Mytilus edulis: one gene and its partners. The protein of the gene in region 1 purifies or fractionates together with the protein of each later gene. This does not show direct contact. Links are inferred from orthologs where the notes say so. Each region holds a gene or a part of one and is shown on either strand. Other genes may lie near its edges.

Evidence for each region.
Region 2: the proteins of high affinity copper uptake protein 1-like (region 1) and galactosylgalactosylxylosylprotein 3-beta-glucuronosyltransferase 3-like purify together in Homo sapiens (co-immunoprecipitation; 3 studies listed by BioGRID and IntAct, with this or other methods). This does not show direct contact. The link is inferred for Mytilus edulis from reciprocal best matches to the Homo sapiens genes SLC31A1 and B3GAT3.
Region 3: the proteins of high affinity copper uptake protein 1-like (region 1) and ubiquitin carboxyl-terminal hydrolase 32-like purify together in Homo sapiens (co-immunoprecipitation; 3 studies listed by BioGRID and IntAct, with this or other methods). This does not show direct contact. The link is inferred for Mytilus edulis from reciprocal best matches to the Homo sapiens genes SLC31A1 and USP32.

The regions. Positions count from the first base shown.
Region 1 is NC_092345.1:7,927,273-7,935,639, reverse strand, and holds the start of high affinity copper uptake protein 1-like, read left to right. Parts: upstream 1-4,897; 5' UTR 4,898-4,908; coding exon 4,909-4,995; intron 4,996-8,367. Other genes in the region: FK506-binding protein 15-like, read right to left, coding at 843-940, 4,312-4,364.
Region 2 is NC_092346.1:96,234,001-96,242,355, forward strand, and holds the start of galactosylgalactosylxylosylprotein 3-beta-glucuronosyltransferase 3-like, read right to left. Parts: upstream 3,796-8,355; 5' UTR 3,640-3,795; exon of another isoform or gene 3,599-3,639; intron 1-3,598. UniProt on the Homo sapiens protein: Glycosaminoglycans biosynthesis. Involved in forming the linkage tetrasaccharide present in heparan sulfate and chondroitin sulfate.
Region 3 is NC_092349.1:11,630,250-11,638,998, forward strand, and holds the start of ubiquitin carboxyl-terminal hydrolase 32-like, read right to left. Parts: upstream 3,869-8,749; 5' UTR 3,751-3,868; coding exon 3,693-3,750; intron 1-3,692. UniProt on the Homo sapiens protein: Deubiquitinase that can remove conjugated ubiquitin from target proteins, such as RAB7A and LAMTOR1.

The DNA of each region.
Region 1 (8,367 bases):
TGCTGGCTGAAATGGACTTGTAAGGGAAATAGATATCAATATCTTGAGATCATATTGACTTTGAAGAATACCTGTTTAAAATCAGAATTGAGGACAAGATATGTTTTTCATGTTTAAATTTGTCATAATAATATTCAAACAGCTAAAATTGCATTACATGAAAAAAGCCTAAAAGCATGGTTTCAACAGGCGATCAACATTATAGCATTTTGTAACACATTTCTTTTAAAATGTTGTGGGTAATAATTCGAAGCTAATGTTAAAGAATGGTTCAATGGTGTCCATCTTGTTTATTAATAATCAGTAAACCCTTTTTTTTAATAGGGCTCTTCACGGTTAGTTTGGCCATATTGGATAGGGGCAGATTTTTTGAAAGAGGTGGAAATAGTATGAAAGTATGGGAAATTCTATGCAGGTTTCCAAGCAACTGCTCTGTTTTAATGATGTTTTCACATATTTTTCACACATTTTTACCAGAACCATGAAAATCTGCCCCCCTATCAAATATGGCTGAACTGTGAAGAACCCTATTTGAACATGTTACAATTTTGGAAGAAAACCAATTATCAGTTGATTAAAAAAGGATAGCTTATCTCAATTTTCTTATTAATTAAAGTTGTTTAGTTTGTGGTTTGATAAGATTTTGTAATCATGTTTTTACCTTAAACATTATATGTTTACAATCATTTTAGCAACCCTGTTTTATTCATAGTTTTATGTTTTTTTTAATTTAACTATGTCATGTTAATAATTGAAAGTGGTGAATAAATATAGCTTTTGCAAAGAGCTGGCTAAAAAGAAATTGACTGAGGAAACCTTCTAAAATGTAAACATCAAAATACCTTTTGGTCTTGGCTGTTTAGGTGCTGTATAAGTTAAAGATTCATTACCACCTTGGGAACTCTGCTTATCTATACCAAATAAATTTGCTAACCTTGATCTGAAAAAAAAATTAGTAATTACATATTCAAGTTTTATATTGCAAACTGTGAAATATTGATGATTGGTCTTGTTGTACATATATATAGCACAAATTGGATTCAATATGTTCATTCCTGCGTCAAGCAGATTTTTTTCATTTTCAGTTTTTAGCTTAGCACACATCATTGAGCTATGTTGGGTCATAGCATATACTGTCTACTGATCAGATATGAGTTTACTGAGTTAAGAATCTGATGTGTAATCAGGGCTCATGTTACAAGGCGACTGGAGGCAAGCCTAAGGACTTAGAAGTCTCATTCAGATAGCAATACACAGTAAGAAAAAAACTTAACATATATATACATGTACATTGATATTTTTTGCCACAAGTTACAGCTGAAATTCGGCTTTTTCCCCTAGAGAAAATTCCCAATTACTAAAAATAAATGGCTTAAAACTCCTCCCAAAAAAGTTTTACATTTTCCCCAAACAGTGTTGGCATTGGTAGGAATGTTTGTAAATATCATATTCATATTATTATTTTGATCATGTTGATATTAGAATACACTTTTGAGATCCGGTTTTCTGATCAGAATCATCATGGTGTAAACTTGTAACACCTGGGGGTTTAAATTCATTAAGTACCATCTTTGCTTCTGTTTCTTTCCCCTCTCCGAAAAACTACCTTTCAGGTTGAAAATGTCAGACAACCAAAATATACATGAAAAAACAGTACAAAAAAGACAGCAAAGGTCAGCAAAAAAATCGGAGATATGTGTTTAGAATAAAATATACAAATTTCCCAATTTCATTAAAAAATATGCATTTCCATATTTTTTTCCAATAAAAAAACGGTAGAGGTAGTTTTGAAAAAAGACAACAATTTCACTGATGTAATTAACACTCATGATTTGAAACAATCCTCTTTCAAATCTTTCCATTGCTTTCTAACAAAGTATGCTTACTGTTTGTCATGTTTGTGTTATGTAAAAAATGTATGTGCACATGTATGGAAAAAGCATCTTCCATAGATTTTATTTTGAAGGGTTAAAATGGAGAAATATAATCTCTTTGATAAAAAAATAATGCAAAAAATGCAAAAAGGAGGTGAAAATTTGGTCCAATGTAGAATTCATCCATTTGAATTTTTTTTGTTGGAAAGCTTTGCAATAATTTCTGGATGGGGTTGGTTTGACCCCCCCCTTTTTTTTTTAGGATCAATGCTTTTGATTGCGGACATATGATGATGATTGGAACTCCCCTTTTAAAAAGGGATGGATTTGACTCTGCTTTCATTTTTGAACAAGAATGTGTCCACAGTACACGGATGCCCCACTCGCACTATCATTTTCTATGTTTAGTGGACCTTGAAATTGGAATAAATTCTCTAATTTGGCATTAAAATTAGAATGATCTTATCAAAGGGAACATGTATACTACGTTTCAAATTGATTGGACTTCTACTTTATCAAAAACTACCTTGACCAAAAACTTTAACCTGAAATTTGCACTATCATTTTATATGTTCAGTGAACCGTAAAATTGGGGTCAAAACTATAATTTGGCATTTAAATTAGAAAGATCATATCATAGGGCACATGTATACTAAGTTTCAAGTTGATTGGACTTCAACTTCATCAAAAACTACCTTGACCAAAAACTTTAACCTGAAGCGGGACAGACGGACGAACGAACGGACGAATGAACGGACGAACGAACAGACGGACGAACAGACCAGAAAACATAATGCCCCTCTACTATCGTAGGTGGGGCATAAAAATTCACAGGAGCCCTGTCAAAAGCGATATGTAGTTGAACAGGCGTTCACAACAGTGGATTTCATCTGCGTTTTTTCAGTTTTAACCAAGTTCATTTCCATTTTTGTAGAGAAATTCAAAGAAAAAACAATTTATTTCTTAAGAAAAGAGGTGAAAGCATTTACCATGTTTACTTTACAGATAGGTTGTATGCTATTTCAACGAAACAACTTTATCATGATTCATGTTTATATGACATATATTTTCTTTAACCATGTTAACTTACGGTAATTGTTACTCAAGATCCTACATCAGTGTACATCAAAATATTGCTTTTTAGTCAATAACTCGATCATTCAGAAAAAAATAATTTGATTTTTGTCGATTATACCTCAACCGTAACATTCATGCCATTGGAGACTGATTACAATAAAGGACTGCCATCAAATAGGCCAATCTCTCACGAAATATTGCAAATGTAGAAGAAATTACAGAACCCTTCAATCAACAGTACATTGTGTACATGTACAACAACAAGAAAGTAATGAAATGAGAAGACAGTTGGAGACATGACTAACCCTGACAAATGTGCAAGACATTTCAGCCATGAAACCAGTTTAATTTGGCCTTGATAATTTCAGTCCTTATATACATGTATATATATAATTAATATTTTTTTCATAACGGTTCTATATCTGTTGATTACAATAATAATATCAAATGTAATTTTTCTGTGTATGTGATATAGACTTTTATAATAAATATAAGTATGATGATGAATACTGGAAATATATCAGCCTGCATTTTGGGGCCTGTTATATCTGGCTTTGCAGTATGAGTTTTGCTAGTCCACACAATTATGACATCTTGTTTGGCTATTTTAATTTTTAATATCAAACTTGATAAAATTTTACAGACCAGAATTTCCTGATAATATAAAAAGAATGTTTGTAAATTTTAGTCAATCAAATTTTAACAAGTTTGATTTTTGGTAAAATCCAGAAGTGACATATTTTTGATAATTCTGGGAAACCATTTTGAAATACAAGAAAAATATTTGCCCACTTCAAATGGAATCGTATCTTGTCATTTCTTTTGGATATTTCTGGAAATATTTCGCATCAATAAACACAAAAAAGTCTTTTTAAGTAACTATGCAAAAATTACTAAGCAGCAATGAAGATTTCATGCCAAAATTGGGTCTCAGAGTTCCCCCAAAAATTCTCTCTTAAAGTCCAGACGGAAAAAAAGGCTTTGGTGTTAAGACGTTGTAGGAAGACGTCACAGAAAAAAGGAGATTTCTCACAAAAAAGGAAGACATCACAATTTAAAAAAAAGAAGCTTTTCAAGACGTCATAATTATTTGGACATGGATTTTGCTCATTGTTGAGGGCCGTACTGTGACCTACATTTGTTAACTCCTGTGTCATGTGGTCTCTTGTGGAGAAATGCCTCAGTTGCTTTTACTTTTATAACATGGCCGAATTGACCAAGATTATATCAACCAAGGCCGAACAGGCTCCTTTGCCGAAACGTCTTTTTTTCCCTGACTGATAGTCATAGAAATTATTTGACATGTTCTTCTTTTTTTCTTTGCATGCATATGCCCATATATTTTCTACATTCAACTAACTTAGACCCTCCGGACACAAAATCTTGATCGTCATCTTCAGCACTGAAAAACATGATGCATTACTAAACAATTATTTAGAAACATAAAAATATTTTTTTTGGAACTGCCCTCCCGGAAGTCATATGAGACCGAGTAGAGTCAGGTGATTAATTGTTTTCGTATTTGATTTTCGAAAGAACAACCGATATAAAAAGATGTATTTTTTGAATTGAGAATAAACCGATATTATTAAAATTTTTTTTAACTCATATATTTAATTATTTGATAAAAACTACACTTAAAGTTCGAAACAGGTTGAGGTTAGTTGTTTATGTCACCTGTTGCACTCTTGGAACGTATGTTGCATAATTGACATGTAGTGTTTTGGATGTTGGTAAAACTATAGTGTAGTTCCGAATCAGGAAATAAATAGTTCAAATTCTCAATGAAGAGTTGGTGTTTCCTCATAAGCAAATTTTAACCTTTCTGATTTTTAGCAACCCTCAGAACTTTGCTTATTCTTTCTTGGATCCCGGTTGAGAGTAAAACTTTGTATAGTAAACAACTGCAGGTACGTTTTGAAAGACTTAATTTGTATTATTTTTGGAATCAAGATCTATGTTTAAGCTAAAAACTTTTGTTTTAAAGATAGCCTGTCCAGTTATTGTACTGTCAGTGTTGATTTATTCAGGATTAGACTTTCATGTAAGCCATAATTTTAACCTGCACACATGTACATGTATACAATATTTAAACAGGGGATACATTAGCTGTGGAATGGTTCCACAGCTAGGTCTGCAAATAGTAATAAAATAACATAAGAACCTTAGAGCTATGGTTCCGCAGCTAGGGAAACAATGTACATATGAACTATGCCCTCCAGAATTTTATTTAGATTGAATTGGTGCAAGGTTAGGACTGATTAGATTATGATGAAACCATATCAAGAACAAAAATGTTATCTTTAGTTTGACACTTATTGCTGGAATGTTCGGTTGGGTTAGGGACCAAATGAATGTAACAGTATTATTTGTGTCTCTGATTTTGTTGTGGTATTGTTACTTTGATGCATTCAATATACAGTACAAATAACGCAAACAGGTTCCCAAACTCCCTACACCACGATTATTCTTGGTGTGACACCAGGTAACTCTGATATCCCTCCCTAAATTCTCCAGTGAAATTAGAGAGTATTCCCTCAGACTTCCTCTTAAATCCACTACCTTTTGTTTATTACAATGTACAAATGTACATGTTTATTAGCGACAAATCTCCCAGCACAGTGTCACACCAGGTAATTAATTGCCCAAATCCTTCTGATCTATGCCAGCACACAACAGTCAAGGTACAAAATGTATATGAAATTTCTTATGTAATTTAAAAATTGTATTTCCTGTCTATTTATAAACAGGTTATATATCTAATGCAAATGGCTTGAAACCAATAAATATTTTAAAAAGGCAAATTGTTGTTAATTCTTTCAATTACATTGTACATTTAAATTTTTAAATTTTATATAAAAAAAAGAATACTTGATTTTGACCTCATTTATTTTTTTCACCAGTAAATTTATTTAATTTTTTTTTTTTTTACAAAAGAGATATATACATGTATGTATACTTGTGTAAAAATAAATGGAAACTACTGCTGAATAAACATGATAAATGTGAGCAGTTTAAAGAAAATTACATGTCACAAAGTTTTGTACACAAATGAAAAAGGAAATATAATTCACCATTCGTTCTACAGGCAGTACAGCATTTTCTTTTTACGATTATCTAATTGCTCGAAAAAAATTAAAGATTTTAAAGCCAAATGTTGTTGTTAATTCTTTCAATTGCATTACTAACAGTTAAAGTTTTATAAAAAAAACTTTACCTAATTTTGACCTCGTTTTTTTCATCGGTAAATTATTCTATTTACAAAAAGGGACATACTTGTGTAAAATTAAATGGAAATCTCCGCTGAATATAAAATGTGAGCAGTTTAAGGAAAATTATGTGTCTCAAAATTTGTATATAATACGTACATGTATATATATATATGCAAGTTAAAAAGAAAATACTATTCAACATACGTTTTGCTTAATAAGTCTACAGCATTTAATGATTCTTTTAACGATTTATTGGCATTACTTTACGATAAATTATACATTTCGACTACAACAGGTAAACTTCCATAGCTGCATCAACTAGTCGTTGCATAATTTCAATGAAGTTAGCTGCATCAACTAGTCGTTGCATAATTTCAATGAAGTTAGCTACATCAACTAGTCGTTGCATAATTTCAATGAAGTTTATGACTTCTGACAAGAATTATACGGCTTCACTAAACATCCAACATCCTCATGCTAGTGACATAATCAGAAAAAAAATGTATTATATGCACAAAATATGTTTATTTTGTATAAAGCATGTTGTCAAGCCATGATATGTTGTTCTCTTCTCCAACAATAGAAATAGTTTTTTTTCTCACCTCCTCACCCAGTTTTCTTTTAGCTTGCATTAATTGGCTTTCAATAATTAAAGATTAGGATATTACATCAGCCAGGTCTGGTAACAAGCATTATACTGTTCAAAAGGTTCTTTCATATCACTCAATTTCAAATATCTATTTGATGAGTATTTTAATTTTTATGATGAATTCATTAAGGGTTACTCCCCTTAAATTTGTGTATTGTGAAATTCAACTGCTGGAAATTATGTTTATTCCTCAAAATATTTGTAACTTTAAATTATTTTACGTTGACAAAATATTGAAATGGAGTTCAATGCTATTTGGTAAAAATAAAATTGTGGATATGGATCTTCAATATTTTTAGTGATTTCAAACCAGGATTTTTAAAACATTACACATAGTACTTTTAAGATATACCCTAATGTAGTTTCTATTAATTTATTACTGGCCATGCAAAACCCTCATGGGTAGTCAAGGTGTTATAAACCACCCTCATCATTTACCATGTTTACTATATATTATACATGTATAATGCAAACATATTATGAACACATGATTTTTCTAATTCACTTATCTAGCATAAAAAAAGGCTTTCAGTCTGCCAATATAATATACATGTATAAAAAATGTATGTGCACACATGTAAAGTTAATAAGAATGATTTGATTGTCAATGAGGCAACTTTACCATATATATATAGAGACAAAATTACATAGAGTTTACAACTATAGGTCACCTTTCAGTCTTCAGTAATGAGCAAAACCCATACTTCATGGTCAGCAATATAAAAAGCCCCATAATGACATGTAAAACAATTCAAACAAGAAAACTAATAGCCTGATTTATATAATGAAAAGCTTGACTCATCAGATTGGTACTAAGTGCAAAAAACAAACAACAGCCTGATTGACTTTTGGTTTCCTGTTAAGCAATAAAGTTAAATGACAATTTTAATTGCATAAATTAGTTTGCACAATTAATCACTATTTAGGGTCCACTTGACAGCTTGGGTGTCTATTCCTGTATTGTACCTACTGTTTAATAATTTCTAATTTATAATATCAGCCAAAAGTATTATAAATGAAATATTAATGCTTGTTTTTTTAAATTTAATATTTCTACTTGGTCATGTTGGGTTGAAAAGTCTTATTGGTAAATTTTATTACTTTAGGTAACACCAATTTGATCCCTTGTTCGACAGACCCGCCCGCACCTATTTTTTTCAAAACAGAATTTTTATATTTTTTTTATATTCCCGCTTCCCGCATCCGGAATTGTAATCATGTCCATTTCCCGCACCGTTTTTTTGTGTAAATATTATAAAAAGATATCAACATTTGTTAAATTTATCACAGTCTAACCTGTACATGTATATAACGATTTTAAACATAAAAGCACCCCACCACACTGTGTAAATATCTGTGAGAATATTTGTTTCAGCATGAAACCTGGGAGTGCTCCGATAAAAAGTTATAACAGCGGGTATTTCCGTGAAGAACAAAAAATTGGTTTCTTTCCCCCTTACTTATATTCCCTATCAAAAAATGGTCGTTGTTAGAATAAAGTACAAAGAACTTCTGAAGGATTTGCCTTCAACTGCAATTATATTGTATGCTGGCG
Region 2 (8,355 bases), on another chromosome or scaffold:
TCAAAGCTGCACTGAGTTCTAACTTCGGGATTGTTAACTGTTTAAGAGGTGCCACTCGATTCTTTGACATGATAAGTACGGTTTCTTTTCCACTGACTAAATATGCGCATGCTCCATAGGCTTTCAAGCTTGCATCCGTAAAAACATGTAATTCTACATTGTCTGATTTTTCTTTGAAATACGGTCTATTAATCTCCAAATGTGAACATTCATTAATATCTTGTAGTACACACTTCCATTCTGTTGTAATTTCAGATGTAAGAGGTTCATCCCAATTTAATCCTTTCTCCCACAAAGTCTGCATAAGAATCTTACTACGCACAGTAACTGGACCAATAAGTCCGAGTGGATCATAGATTTTCGACGATTGTCTTAAAATCTCTCGTTTTGTCAGACGTGTATCTTCAATATCTGGTATTCCGGTTTGGCGAAAGTAAGTGTGTCGTTACAAGTGTTCCATCTCAATCCAAGCACTTTTATGGGTTCATCTTTGTCTAATACGTTGTGTGAATTTGCGCGGTTTCGCAAAAGTTGAGAATTTGAAGCCCATGAGCGCAAGTTAAATCCTGCTCTAGTGAATAAGTCTCTTGCTGTATCAAAATATTTCAGTAATGCACTCTCTGTAGTAACGGCAAATTGGTGTAAACGAAATCTTAAAAGAATGCCGACTAAGTCATTTAAATTGGGTGGAGTAGTCATCAAACAATCATTAAGACTAGGCGATTCTGGTGTTGCTTTACAACTGCAGTCGTATACGACCCTAATTGGTGTTGTAGTTGAATCTTTTCTCACAGCATGATGCGGAATATAGTGTATTTTGCTAGTTTCATCGGTCTCATTAGTAGTATCCACTTTTTCTATGAAGCCCCTTTTCTCCTGCTCTGCCATTATTTCTCCATATTTTTCAAGTAGTTTGGGTTCTTTGCTAAGTCTTCTTATTACATTTTCCGTCCTTCGTTGTGCAATGGCTTTATTTGTCGGTAACGTAGGGTGATCCTCTTTCCATGGTAACGTTACAAAATATCTGTTGTCATGGTAACAAATTTGTTTCTCTTCATAAGTCTTTTGAATATCTATCTGTTCTTCTAACTTTGTGGTGTCAATTTTCTCGGTGGCCAGTGACTCTATTTTCCAAAATTTCTCCAAGTCGTACTCATCGGTTTTTGTTGCGATCATCACGTTCATCATTGAAGCTCTCTTGTATCCTTCTGTGTCAGAGTTGTGTGAATGTAGCGTTCCAGACAACAAGTATCCGATTTTTGATTGAACAGCTGTCGGTCCTTCGCCTCGGATAATATCATTCTGAACAATTGACCAAAAGTAATCAGCTCCAATTAGAATAGAAATTTCAAAGTTTTCATCTGCTGTTACTGGGTGAGCTAATTTGATTCCTGACAAATATGTAAGTTTTGCTGCTTGGCGTACATAGGTTCTCATCGGTGCTGCGATCTCTGGAACGATCAAGACTCGAATCGGCAGTTTACCATCTGTAGTTATGAGATATACCAATCCTGTTCTCAAATGGCGAATTTTAGTACTATTTGCATTGTCTCCAAATCCGGATAGGTTAACGATTTCAGTTCCAGTAGGCTTGAGTTTCAATTTCTCGGCTAATTCCTCTGTGATAAATGACCGCTGTGCGCCTTCATCAAACAATATTTTTGCATCAAGTATTTCATGTTCTGCACTTACTGGGTTAATTGCTGTCTTCAAAAGTACACGATCTGGCGATTGTGAGTGTAAAACAATGTCTGGTTCCTCCGCGTTGTGTTGAATTGTGCCTACGCTTACATCCCCTGTTGGTGTGTTGTCTTCATTTGTTTTAACATTGTCTTTGCAAATGCTGGTGTGATGACGTTTGTGACACTTGTTGCAAGTTTTTGTAGATTTACATGCGGATAAGCTATGGTGTCCTAGACAGTTAAAGCATAAGCGGTCTTTTTTCACGATTGACATTCGGCTATTGTAATCAGATACTTTAGTGCAATTAACAGGCGAGTGTGGCTCCTTACAGTACGCACAGTGTGGCTTGGGTTTAGTGTTACTTGCGTTTGTATTCTTGTTACCTCTATTTCGATTACTAGAATTTGTATTTGTCAGAAAGGCGGCGGTAGCTGTAGGGGATTCTAACTGTTCTGAAGTTTTGCCTGCATCCATAATATAAAGTTCATCGAAAATTCCACGGCGTAATTCATTCAGTTGTAAATCTGTAGATCTATATTGTCTGGCAAGATTTCTGCGGATTTCACCGGGTAGTTTGTTCATAATAATGGGCACTAAAAACGCTCCGTATGTGTCTTCACTTTGACCTAATGACTCCAAACCTCTAATGTGTATCTCAATTTCATCGTAGTAGTTTTTCATGCTAGATATCGTGTATTTAGGGGCTGGTATATCAACTAGTGCTTGCATATACTTCTGTCTTATTACATGCGATTGTCCATATCTTTCTTGCAGTAAAGAAATAGCTTTCTCATAATTTGCATGTGTAAGCGCAAACCCTGTGACGGTTTTCAATGCCTCATCATGGAGTAGTGACTTCAAATAATTAAATTTCTGAACGTTTCCAAGAGTAGTGTTTTCGTGAACGGATGTCTCGTATGAATCCCAAAATGACTGCCACTGCATAATATTACCATCAAAGGTAGGAAGATTCAATTTGGGCAACTTGTTGTACTCATTTACTCTAGTGTTACTACGTGAAAACTGAGTTTCCGGTTCACGGAAGTTTGAATTACATGTATTCTGTTTAGTGTATCTCTCGGGTTGAGCATAACTTTGTTGATCATGAGCGGGTTGAGCATAACTTGACTGATCATGAGCGGGCTGAGCAGGGGCGGAATGAGAAGGGCCGCTATAACTGACGAAATCTTTTGCATTTGTATTGAGTGCGGATGTATTGACAAGAATGAGCTTTTGTATTTGCGTTATTTTTCCATCTAATGTGTAAGCATACTCATCTGAATCGACGATCTCGGCTTCTACTTCTCCTTCATCAAGATTTTCTAGAATGTCCTCATTTAATTTTTGTAGTGTCTCTTGTTTCTTCAACAGATTGTTCACAATTTTAGTTAACTCTTCAGTGTTCACGGGCTCATCTCCGTCGTCTCGGATGTCCTCAAATTTCTTCAAAAGTCGGGAAATAACACTTCTGTGTCCTGCACGTATCGAACGTAGTTTGGAACTCATCTTGGTCCTTCGGCACCAATATCTTAAAATGTTTTTATAAGACTTGTTAGGCACAATAAGAAATACTAGCTGTTTCTACTTGTAATGATTCTAAACTCATCTTGCACATAAATCTCAACGTCATAAGTAGCGTGACGTTACAATACATAGCGGTACCGCAAACGTCTAATGAACACAGTCCTGAACAGGTAGGTAGGTAGGGATTTTTTTTAATTTTATGGTGTTTTTTTTACATTGAGTCTATGGGAGCAACATTCTGACTTTAACAGTACTAGTGCTTAATGAAAAATGACAATAAAATCTTTTGGGTAGTCTATTTTCAAGCCGAAAAAGTAGGGACGGTAGGGTTACTGGAATCACATACATATTTTTATTTGGCCTATTAGTATCATGGACCTGATAAACTTACAGAAGAGACGTATTTCGACAACAATTCTTAAATGAGCTTACATTTCACCATCCGCAACTTTATTGTATTTTTTCGTTCCAAATATTCCAAATATTGAAGAAGTTTGAAGAAAGAGATTTTTTTCTGTCCGGGGAATATAAGTAAGGGAAGAGAAACCAATCTGTTCTGTTCTATTCTGTACAGGTATATTCCACGTTATATATATCGGAACACTCCTACTTGGGATTAAATATTTTATTGGCACTGGCTACGGTTACATGGAAATGTAACAATAATAAAAATATTATTGTTACATTGGAGACTAATTGCCGGAATGCAAAGTTGGGTGAGGAACCGATTAATTACAAATGTAACAATAATTACTGAGGCTACGGTTACATTACGTTATTGTTACATGAAATACAGCAATGTACGCTAGATTGATAAAACTTAAATCTTCTATAGTTGAACTGCTTCATTCTTTCATATGTACTAAACAATACTTGTAATTTAATACTGATAAATAATAAAATATTATTATTCAACAAATGGTGTACAACTTGAATAGTTTAACTACGTATTAATGGTTTTGATGTTCTTAAAGATACTACTCAAGATTAGGAATGTGACTGTCAAAGGCGAAAAATATAGTCAATGGTTTCACTTTCTTAAAGTATTTAACTGCACACCTACTCTTATTACTGTCATTATACTTTGGACCAATTTTGTTTATGGTGAAAAAAATAAAACTTGGGATGCGTTTTAAACGAAACTGAAACAATATCAAGACATACATTTCATACAGCTTTATAACTTGACGCAAATTGATAATCAAAAGCAAAGTTTGCTAATTGTAACTTTTAAAATACTAAGAAATTCTGTATGTACACTTATCCGTGGAGGACGTAATTTCGTTCATCAAAAATGTGTCGGACTTTAAAACAACTTACTGGATTTGTAGAAATTGTCATTGTAAATAAAAAATTACAGTAAATAAATTGTATGTTATAAATGTATGTAATAAATGTCCTCAACTTTTATTATTTAGTACATATTACTAGTCCCATCGTACATTGCTTTTTTTCATGTAACAATAACGCAATGTAACCGTAGCCTCAATAATTATTGTTACATTCGTAATTAAACAGGTCCTTACCCAACCATGCATTCCGGCATTTAGTCTCCAATGTAACAATACTATTTTTATTATTGTTACATTTCCATGTAACCGTAGCCAGTGCCTATTTTATTTACACAGATATTTACACAGTGTGGTGGGGTGCTTAAGTTTAAAAACTTTATATACAGGTAAGACTGTGAATTTCAAAAATAAGTGTATATTTAGTGCTATTTACATCATTTATAATTCTACCTAAGTTAAAAATTTTGATTTAAAAAACGTTTTGATTCCTTTTAATGAGACAATGGGGTGATTCTACCATATGTTTAATAAGTTAAAGGATTAAAATATGAAAGAAAAAGAAAAAAAACCAAGGATAAAAGGTAAAAATAAGTTGATTAAAAAAAAAAAAAAAATTGAGATTAAATTGTTTCAGTAAGGTATCAGCTTAAGACGAGATTATCAAAAATCGGAAATATATCATTAACTTTTTTTTTAATCATATATCGTAAAATTTGAATACATATAGAATAACCATACATTGTCTCGAAATATCAATGTTATTTGTACAAGGCTTAGAAACAGGTAGTAAACGAGGCGGTGCTGTGATCTCAGGCCTGTCAAGGTCTTTAAGCATATAATTAGACGTAAGCAGCTAATCTAGTCGTAGATAGAGGCAGTTGGCTTGGCATTCCATGCAGACTGCTTGGTCCATCTTTCCTGAGATTAGTATGGCTATATATATCTTTATTCTCATAAACCAAAGTACAATGATACAGAAACATATACAAATACATTAACATAGTATAAATTTTAAATATAAATGTAAAGTAGAGACATAAAGTGGTTACCCAGGAGATTCTAGGCATTTGATAATAATTCTTATAAACGTGCAGATTGTTTAGTTCAGACGGGTTGCTACTATTCATTAGACCTTGAAATTTTAAAATATTTGGTCTGTTTATAAAATGATGCTTTAGTAGCAGTTGTCTACTATCGTCTATTGCCGATCATGCTAAAATATAATGGAACTCGTCGCCAATGTCACTGGAATTGCACAACTTGAAGTACAAATACGATTTTCACTCTGAATGTTTTGCCATCTAGTGTCTTTCTATGTTGTGATATTAAAATATTGTTTCAGGCTAAGAACAGTAATTCTAACATTTCCCTGTTTCAGGTAAGGATGAAGGTTGATATAGTTATGTTCTTATGATACAGAAAAACAACGTTGTAAAAAAGGGAGAGGGCTGGGACTATTATACTAGTATACTATTATAATAGTCTCAGGAGAGGGCAAAAAGAAAAATAAAGATTGTCCTGTCCACAAGTACCTATGGTCAAAACACCTAGTATTGTTTCTCACTTGATTTTTTCGATTATTCTATTTCATGTTTATGAGATTAGTTTTCTGCAGCGTGTGTGTCTCCCTTTTTGAAAACACACGAACTGTTTGCGTTGAGCCAGTCTTCGGTAGTATTCCAGTCTATTGATGTTTGGAAGATGGCAGTTAGTGCTTGTGCTGTTTCTGTTGCACATTCTTTAAGAATTCTGTTAGGGATAACATCTGGTCCAGATTCTTTCGATGAGTTTACATCTTTGAGAAGTTTTTCGAGACTTTAGTGGTTATAAGTAGCTGTGCTATTTTGTTGTTTTAGGCATCGATGTTGAAATTTGTCATTTGTGATCTAAATGGTCGAATTAAAATTTCTCAGTCTTCCTCTGCTGTCACAGACCTTCTTCTGTTTGTTTTTATGCCCCACCTACGATAGTAGAAGGGCATTATGTTTTCTGGTCTGTGCGTCCGTTCGTCTGTCCGTCCGTCCGTTCGTTCGTTCGTTCGTTCGTTCGTTCGTTCGTCTGTCCCGCTTCAGGTTAAAGGTTTTGGTCAAGGTAGTTTTTGATGAAGCTGAAGTCAATCAACTTGAGACTTAGTACACATGTTGCTTATGACATCATCTTTTTAATTTTAATGCCACATTAGATAATTTGCCAAATTTCACGGTCCATTGAACATGGAAAATGATAGTGCGAGTGGGGCATCCGTGTACTTTGGACACATTCTTGTTTAAAGGTGATACTCCAATTTTATCTTTTTTTCGTGGATTTGATGTACTTACAGAATGGCTTTGTATTGTTTCTTTTGTAGGCATTTGATGATAGTATCATTGATGGATGAGTATTCTGCTTTCCTGACTTCCCGTTGCACTTCTTTTTGGAACTGTCTGTAGTTTGTCAACTGTTTATAAAACTGAGAATGGAAAGGGGGAATGTGTCAAAGAGACAACAAGCTGACAAAAGGGCAGAAAACAGCCGAAGGCCCCAAATGGGTCTTCAATCCAGTGAGAAAACCCCGCAACCGGAGGCATGCTTCAGCTGCCATATTAAAATAAAAATGTATACCAGTTCAGTGATAACAGACGTTATACTAAACTATGAGATTTATCAAAGAAATGAAATAAAAAATCATACAATCAAACAAAGACCAGAGGCTCCTGACGTTGGACAGTCAGGTGCAAAGATGCAGCATGGTTAAACATGTTCGCAAACATGCGGCGGGTAAGTTCATTTAGGTTGTTGGTATAGCCTTTTTTTTTAACAGTTTCCTTAATTTTTGGTTTATCTAGGGTAAGATGTTCTTAGAGCGGATTTCTTAAGATATCATGGGATGTGTTTGTCCATTCTTTAAAAAGAGTTCTCACTTGAGGGTGTCACTCATTCCTTATGCGTTTATTCGAAGATCCTGCATCTGTCGGATTTTTGTTGATATTAGTGAAATCTCCTCTTTAATGTTGTTGCAGTTTGTCTTAAGAGTAAATATAGCATTTTCTGGGTTTGCTACGCTGGTAGTAAGGTCTGGTGTCACAGTCTGTAACTATCATTTCATGGTTTGATATGCCAGTTGTGTTTTTGATTTGCTACGCTGTTAGGAAGGTCTGGTGTCACAGTCTGTAACTGTGTGTGTTTTTAACAAGTGATGGGTCTTCCCGTTAAATTAACTCAAGCAGAAAACTTACAACTGAAAATTGGTAAATAATTGAAAGACACTAGACCATTCAAAGGCATGACTTCAAAATAGTTGTCAAACTGATAGGCACATGTTGAAAAAAAAACCTTCAAACAGGAGATGCGCAAGCTAGAATTAGACCACCAACCCAGCCAAAAAAACCTTCAACACAAGAGATGATCAAGCTACAATTTGACCACTGACCGAGCAAAACAATTTTCAACACAAGAGATGATCGATGAGCATAACTATCGTTAGACAACCAAACCAACCAAACAAACAACATTTAACAAAAGAAGATCAAGCTTCCATTAGACCACCAACCAAGCCAAACAAACAACCTTCAAAACAAGAGATGATCAAGCTTTTATTAATAGACCACCAACCAGAAACAAGAGTGCACACACTGAAATGTCTCGCCTTCTTTACTAATCATTGATATTATGTTGATAGTCCTAAGTATAAAACTTGATTACAACTGTCACATAAACTTAACATTAACCAAGATAGCTAAACAAAGACCAATGAACCATGAAAATGAGGTCAAGGTCAGATGAACCATGCCAGGCAGACATGTACAGCTAACAAAGCTTCCATACAACAAATATAGTTGACCTATTACTTATACTTTAAGAAAAATAGACCAAAACA
Region 3 (8,749 bases), on another chromosome or scaffold:
AGGTAGTATGGTCATTAATTAACAGATCCAGGTGTGAATGGTAATATATTTGTCCTTTCATCTTAATCCGTGCTACTAGAATTACGGTTCACTGATTTCAGAATCAGGTTACCTGTAGTTTTAACCTCTCAGTCACTTTATTGATTATATTAGTTCTACATCGTATTTGACATAAAATATTTTTACAGATGAAGTACTGCAGAAAATTTTGTTTTAACAAAAATAACCTAACTTTTTTAATTATGGTTTTTATATTTCAACTGCTATTTATTTTCTTTGTTCCTCAAAATTATTTTTATTTTATGTTATTGGGGTTTTTTGGGGTTTTTTTTGTATATATCTTTTTCTTATTTGTTTGCATAAAATTTTTAAACATAATTTTATTCTATATCTGGAAAGTTATTTTTGTTTTACTGATTTATTTTCCACGTAAATCCATTGATTGACAGAATGCTGTCTCAAGTGCTGCTGCATACGTTTCCGAGATAAAAAATAATTACAGTGAGCAATACTTGTATACTAGTAGCTTGACGATTCTTTATAGTTGTGAATTTACAAATATTTCCGAAAGTTGGAGATGTATCACTAAAATAGAAAGAAACCCCCAAAATAGAACGCAAATAATAACACTAGAAGAAGATATTGAAGAAAATATTTGCCCGAGCTGTATCGGGGGGTAGGAGGGGTCCGGATCTCGAAATCCTGAATTTAAATTAAAAAAATCCCAACATTCCGAAATTAGAAAAAAGATCCCGAAATCCCGAACTTAATTGCATAATATTAATTTAGGCACAATCCATGTTAACTTGGAAACTTGTATTTTATATTTTTGACAGCAATCTAAAAAAAAATATTTGCCGTGAAAAGACAATTTCGTGATACACATATTAGTGATCAACAGCGTGTGCACGTGGTTGAACTTTAACTTGACTTCACTCACAATATTGAATGCTAATAAAAGATATTTAAAGATCGATTTTGTCCACTGCACGAGATTTTTATATGGCGGGAAATATCTTAACAGTAAACACAGGTGACCTTACTGAACCACTGTAGGAAAATCCATTCATGATTTAATTTGATGTGGAATGATTGACAGTATTGTGCTTTTATAGTTTTGAGGCTCTTAATCGAGATCCATTTGCAATTGATTTACCAGAATAGAAATTTAATCGATTTATATACATGTATAATCAAAACATGATTTAGTCTTCTTTTACTATTTTATGTATTATATTTATCAGTCATTTTCCGGATTCCCATTTAAATGATTTATTTGGAGACCTCCTCATTCGGAAATAATACATCGATTTAAAAAATCTTACTGACTGCATGAGCTGCAGAATGACTAGAAGTACGACCAAAAAGTAAAGACAGCTGATCATGACCAGTGTAAAACTTTGATTTTCGTGTATCGATTGACACAATTCGTAAAATATATTTATAATAAAAAACTCCGGCGATTTTCATAAAAATTTCAAACATGAAAATAGAAAGGCAATATCTTTGTTATAATACAACGAGTGTCAACAATTTTTTTTTAAATAAAAAATAGGAATCGAAATATAATCACGGCGTTATAAATATTGTATTAAAAAAAAACACTAGTTTCAAAGAGATTAACGAGAAATATGTCAAAATAAAAGCATGAGTGATCTGTCTGACCAAAATGTTTTACTTGCGACAAATGATTGACAGGTGTGAATAGACGTAGAGGCTCCGACGGGGAAAGTTGTATCAAAAGGGAAAGAACAGTTTATTCACAATGCCTACATGTATACATATTTTATAAATACGATATGTTGGCCTTATACTTAAAATTGTGTTTCTAATAATAACATATATAAAGGAATAGGACGTTAAAAGGGGGAAATACTATAACCATCAACGAAAACTCATATAAGTTACAGGATTGATGTCTCAACTATTTGATTTAAAACTTCGATTGAAAACAGTCCTGGTTGTTATAATTTTGAATTAGATGAAATATTTACGGTTTACAAATACAAATACAAAAAATGTTTCTGGCACAAAACTATTACAATAATTGGCAACACAATACATTGTTAAAAATCGTCTTTATTTCATTTTCAAGTAATAAAAAAAAATCCCATGTTCACGATATTTAATTTTAATTTTAATTTTAATTTTTTCTCTTTGAATACAAAACAATATTTCACATTTATCTATCCTCCATAAATACTAATATATCTGTACAGGTAAAATTTAATTCTAATCAAGCTGGTACAGATTGATTTACGACCTTCCACTTGGATATTGCACAGCAGGTGTTTATTACACTGGGACAACTGTCCGACTAGTCTGACAACTAGACGGATTAAGACATCCATAGAAATAAGTCTCTACCCGTACCAGGGGTGTGGAAATGCTATGCCCGACTCGCCCGACTCGTACATTTGAACAACCGGACAAGTAATTATTTTTGTCTTGGTTGCCCTTGGACAAGTAATAAAATATACAAAACAAAGTTCAAATCCAACAAAAACATAAAATTAATTTCAAAACGTATAAAGATGTTTAATTTATGTAAAAGAAACCAATGTTCAGCAAGTAAAAACATAATGTTCATGATAATTTAAATATAACATGATACCGGAAATAGATCGATTACCAAAATAAATAAAAATAAGTGTGCGAACCCGAGTCGCATATTATTGCATTGGCTTTATCCGTTGACACAGGATCGTCGATTAGGTTTTATCCATCATTTACCGGAAGTGTCATTTCTTTAAATTTTTTATCGAGATACAGATTTATAAAAAGGTGGGCAAGCAAGACAAAAATAGTCATAAGTCGAGTAGAAAACCTTAAATGCAAATGGAGGACACAGAGTATTTAAAAAAAAAAACAGAAGCGAGAATTTCAGACATCGTGGATATCAGATTGCCCCTGGCTATCTATGAAAATTCGGAAAATAAATTAAGTTTTTGTCTTATTTACAAATGATTTATAGATGAAAGGTCAACTTTATGTGTTGTCAAAGTGGAAAATAGAAGGGACGCTTTAATTGCCTATCAAGGCAATAATAAATAATCGAGAATAAAACAGGTGTGTCAGTTGAGAGAAACACCACAAAATCAATAGTTTATCTATTATTTAGTGTACATTTCTTCGATCACTGTCCTCAAATTTAGTATATGTACCTACTGGCTACAATTTTTATTCAAAAACTGCTGTAAAATTGTCCTTTACATGTCATTTCATTGGTTGGTTTGCTGTTAGGTTTCTGTCCCATTGGGACAAGTGCTCACAACAAATATGTCCACACCCCTGCGTACTGTACGTCTATTGTGGGGCCAGATATTTTGTTTTAACAGTTTAAGAAGTCGAAATTATACGGGAACCTGTGTGATATCCAGTAATGGCTGACAAAAAGCGATAACGTGTATTAATTCACTGAATGACTGAAGGAATTTTCCTCCCTGTAATTTAATGATTCAGTTTAGTGTCAGTTATCAAGCACATAACGTAAAATCATGTTTACGTGCAAAATATTTTCAAACTCATGTCATTTTTAATGTTGTATGTTGAGTCTGAATATGTAGACAAGTAAAAGATTGCAACTACATGTGTTTCTTGATCAACAGGATGTATTAATTTTACAGACGAAAAAATGTCAACATAAATTTGCAATATTTATAAGGTGTGTTTCAATCAAACTGTTTTCTTACATCGTCTGACAGCTTCCTCGTAAGGAATATAAGATAATTTTGATTCTTTTCCTCCCATTCTAGCGTTTGTAATTTATCAATAATCCAAAACAATCACTCTAAACTGTCAAAAGTGTCAAAATTCAGCCGATCGTCATCCATATTACATCACGCGATGTTGACACAAGTCTCGCGAGAAAAAGTAAGGGATCGGACAGGTTAAAAAAAGTAATTTCCCGCGGATTTTTGAAAATTAATATTTCTGAATTCTGTTTTCAACTTGTGACGCATACTGGAAACTATATCAATTTCATTGACGTATAACCGCTAACAATTCTCAATAAAGTTCAAAGTTCAATATATCTATATGATATGTACACATTTAAAGGGACACTAGCTACAAGATATTTAAAAAATCTAAAGTATGATTTTTTTTGTTCAATCATTTATAATGACAGTGAAATAGTGAAATAATAATTTGCTTTTAACAGCTTAAATGGTTAAATTTTTGTCAAATTAAGCTAAAAGGCTAATAAACATTGATAATGAATTATTCACTTGCAATTGAATAATTCGACCTCTGTACGGTTGTTTTTAAAAGGAAAAAATGTCAACATTGAAAGTGAAACAAAGGTAAATAATTTGATTGACTGATTCGATCCACAAAAAGAATTTCTTGTAAAGGAAAAAAAAAACACGATAAAAATACATTTTTAATCTATAACACAAAATTTAATGCACCTATAAAAATCCAATTGAATGAGTTAATTGCTTAATCTATTTATATCTATATCTAAGGGGTTAGCAAGTGAACAAAACATCATCAATGTTTCTTAGCTAAATTTTGACAAAATTGAACCGTACTGGCTGCTAACAGCGAATTATTATTTCATTATTTAACTTTCATTACCGGTAATGATCGAACCAAAACAAATCATTTTTTTTTATTATATATCTCGTAGCTTTAACCCCTGTTTCAATAAAAAAAATAAGACAATGTGGTTTGATTTTCCATATTAAAGTGACAAAATCTCAAAATGAAAAAAGAAATTAACAACTATAACTGTCACCGTAAGGCCCCACTATGATCCATTCCCCCTCTCCGCAAAGATGCAAGGAAGCGTAACCACCTTTTTGATTCGAAAAACTGAAAACCCATGAGTTTAAAGTAATAGAACTGACAACAACATTTGGATTGTCTTTCAACCCGTACCCTTAAGTGTAATCTTGAAAATTAACGAAAGCTCCGTTTTTACTCATGAAATCAACACCTATATAGATTAAAATATCGAAATGCATTTTTTTGTATTTGTAATGAGTCTGTAATCTCTGTCCTACATTTATTTTCACTCTATTCGGTCCTGCCTCTTTTATAAGTTTATCATGAATTTTTTAAATTAAATTGACATCCTGCCTTTTTTTTTGCCAATTTCTCATCCTGCTTTTCGTACTCAAAACTCATGTCTTGTCTTTTAAAAATTTCATCATAGCCCCTCCCTTTTTAAATCAAATGGTAGCTGCCCCTTATTGCCTGGTAATTTGTAGTTTGCCCCGAACTGACACAAAATTTCTATTGGCTTCATTTTCTTAGGTTACAATGGCACTTTATCATATGAATTTTGATTCAAGAGATTTCTATATATGACAGAAATATTTGCATCTGTATCTATCACAGCTTAGTTTTAGTGTTGCACATGACGTAAGCTGTGTATTTAGTGATAAGAAGATGTGGTGTGAGTGCCAATGAGACAACTCTCAATCCAAGTCACAATTTATAAAAGTAAACCATTATGCCAATAAAGGTACGGTCTTCACTCATACCGAACAGCAAGCTATAAAGGGCCCAAAAAACAAATACTAGTGTGAAACCATTCAAACGGGAAAACCACCGGTCTATTAATTTTTATCTATATTTGTCTGAACCTACAAAGAAATAATTGTACATACTTCCTTATTTGTAGGTTGTTTGTAATTTTCATTATTTTGATTTTTATCATCCTTGTGCCAACTCTATAGACTAAAGAAGGATCGAATCCCTATTGTGTATTCACTTGTGACACACTTTTATTTCCCTTACTCGACGTACATAACTGAAATGAATTTGTTTGCCACATTTATGGCATGACTGTTTGTAATTTGGACAGATTGTCCTTGATTTACATGATTTACCACAGCCAATACTGTAATATTGTAACCCTTGGCTATAGCGAATTCGAAGATTATATGGCCTTCAACAATGAGTAAAACCCATACCGCATAGTCAATTATGAAAGGTCTCGAAATGACAAATGTTTTACAAAAAATTAATTCAAACGAGAAAACTAACGCCGTGATTTTCGTACAGTGAAAAAAACGAAATACAAAATATTAAAAACGACAACCACTTAATTTCAGATTCATTACATTTAATAGGTACCTGTGGCAGTGTTAAATCTGGAACATTGGTGTAACAGTACAAAATATGATCAAACTATAAAAACAGTTAAAAAAAGACCTAATTCGTCGGATCGAGACAAAGCCAAAAACAAGTAACACAAACATATCCGACCGTGCCGCTGATGCATGCATGCGCATGCGGCCGAGGGCTGTATATATATAGCCAGTCAACATATATTTGTTTGCCTAACAGAAGTTTCACTGAAAATTTTGGTTATTAGCAAATGATGCCGTGAAATCAGTTCCTATTGTAACAAATATTCTTTACCATTTATTTTGTAAGGAACACATTCTGTATCATTTCTCCCAGTGGAAATTATAACATAATCGAAAATTTCTTCAGTTTGGAACTTTTGTTTCATATTAGCAGCAGCTATCATGAGAAGAGGACACTCTGTAATCATGTGAAAACCACGTCGAAATCATATTGTGTCTTTTTTTTAAACTTTTTTTTTCATCTGCAATTGTTTCAAACAATCATTGCAATCATCATTATCATTGTATAAAAAAAATAATGTTATTGTTCAGCTCAGCTTTGGGTGCTGTTCTCTGCAGGGACTTTATATATACATTAAGTCTGAACTATGAGACGGAACCGCTGACTCTGTATGACGGTCTGACAATCCGACCTCGAAAGTTTAAATGGGGATGTGGAAAGGGGGCGGGGGGTAGGAGGGGATCCCGAAATCCCGGGATTAAAAACACGAAATCCAGAGGTCCCGAAAGTTTAAATAAATTTAAATCCCGACATCCCGAAATTCCAAAAAAGAATTGCCAGATCCCGAAAGGGTCAGTCCCGAAATCACGAGCTTAAAACGCCCGATCCAGGAGTCCCGATAAAGGTCATATCCCCTCTCTATAATAGTCTACACTATATAATAGAAATAGATGTTTTTAAAAAATGTACTGAATATGGCCTAAACATTTTATACATTGAAACATGTCAAGATAAATCTGCTAATATTTTAACATTTACTGACGTGACTAAAACTTATGTAGACTCGTTGAACCGAGTGGGGTTAAAAAAATCGAGAAAAGTGGCAGATGGCACTTGTTTATATTGATTGATTGATTGTTGGTTGCTTAACGTCCAGTGGCAAATACTTCATGCATATTCAGGACGAACATATATACATATATACAAGAAAAACAAAGAGCTATTATATAAAAATAAGAGGACATGGTATGATTGTCAATAAGACAACTCTCCACAAGAACAACATGTGTAGCAGTGGCGGATCCAGAGGGTAAGGTAAAGTGGGTTGGAACAACTTTTTTTTACGATCAATGCTTTTGAATGGGGACACATGGTTTGAACCCTCCCCCCCTCTCAGTCCCTTTATCCCGACTCGAGTTGGACCCGTTTTTGTTTCGTCTATATTCTTATCTAGCTTTTGAATATTTACCTTTTCAGTGCATGTTCCATTCAGTTTAAGCCGTTTATCAAAATGTCTTCTGAATTTGAATGGGGACCAATTTCCAAAGTATTTATCATACTTTAAACAAAGAGGCAATTTCAAAATAACGTGTTGAATAAAATGAACTGAATTGAATTGAATTGAAAATTGAATATAATTGAATAGAATTGAATATAATTGAATTGAATTGTTGAATTGAATTGTTGAATATTGAATTTTTGAATTGAATTGTTGAATTGAATTGAATAGAAATTTGAATTGAATTGAATTGAATTGAATTGAATTGAATTGAATTGAATTGAATTGAATTGAATTGAATTGAATCGCATCGCATCGAATCGGATCGGATCGGATCGGATCGGAGATCGAATCGAATTCTTAAACATAGGGTGACAGATAAAATACTTAGAACAGCAGATATATAAAGCAGCTGATCTGGGAACAGTATGTCAATTGAATATATATGTTCCTGAGCTAATACAAAATTTAAAAAAAAAAGACATATGACCTATGATCACATATGTTCGTGAAATCCTACCAAATTAGCCAATTTATGACCACCATATTTATAGTGAAAACTTCGGACCCCAATGTTCATGATGCTCTTCAATTTCTACCTAAGATTAGCTGTCAAAGTGCTACTATTACAATTTCCAATAACAGTTAACAGCAAATACAAGAACAGATAACAAAAAAACTAATATTCCAATAACAGGTAACAACAGGTTTCAGACGGTTTAAAGAGCTCTAAGAGATCATGTTCATTGTTTTTGTGTATAGGCAACCAGACTTTAAATAAAGATTACTTTACTTTAACATGTTTAAAAAACATATTTCCAGAATAACAGATATAAACGAAGAATTAGATTTCCACAAAACAGCATATTTAGCATATTGGCATTTTGTCATTACAATTAATTAAACCCCTTGGCCCTCTCTTTAACAGCTTTTTTTCTTTAGCGTAATTGCGGATATTTCACCCCATTACCGCGTCCGATTCGTTATTTATGCGTGTTTCAAGGGAGATAAATCTTGTACTTAGAAAAAAGATGGGGATGACTTTTCAAAACGACGACAAAGGAAGGGACAAAATTCAGACGATATAATAGTGGTTGTCTTATTTCAACAGAGCTCGAACTACATTTTTTTCATTATTTGTAGAATATACAGTTATTTCTGCAACACTTTTCAGAGCGAGCCAAGAGGCTTTCGAAAGCGCCATTT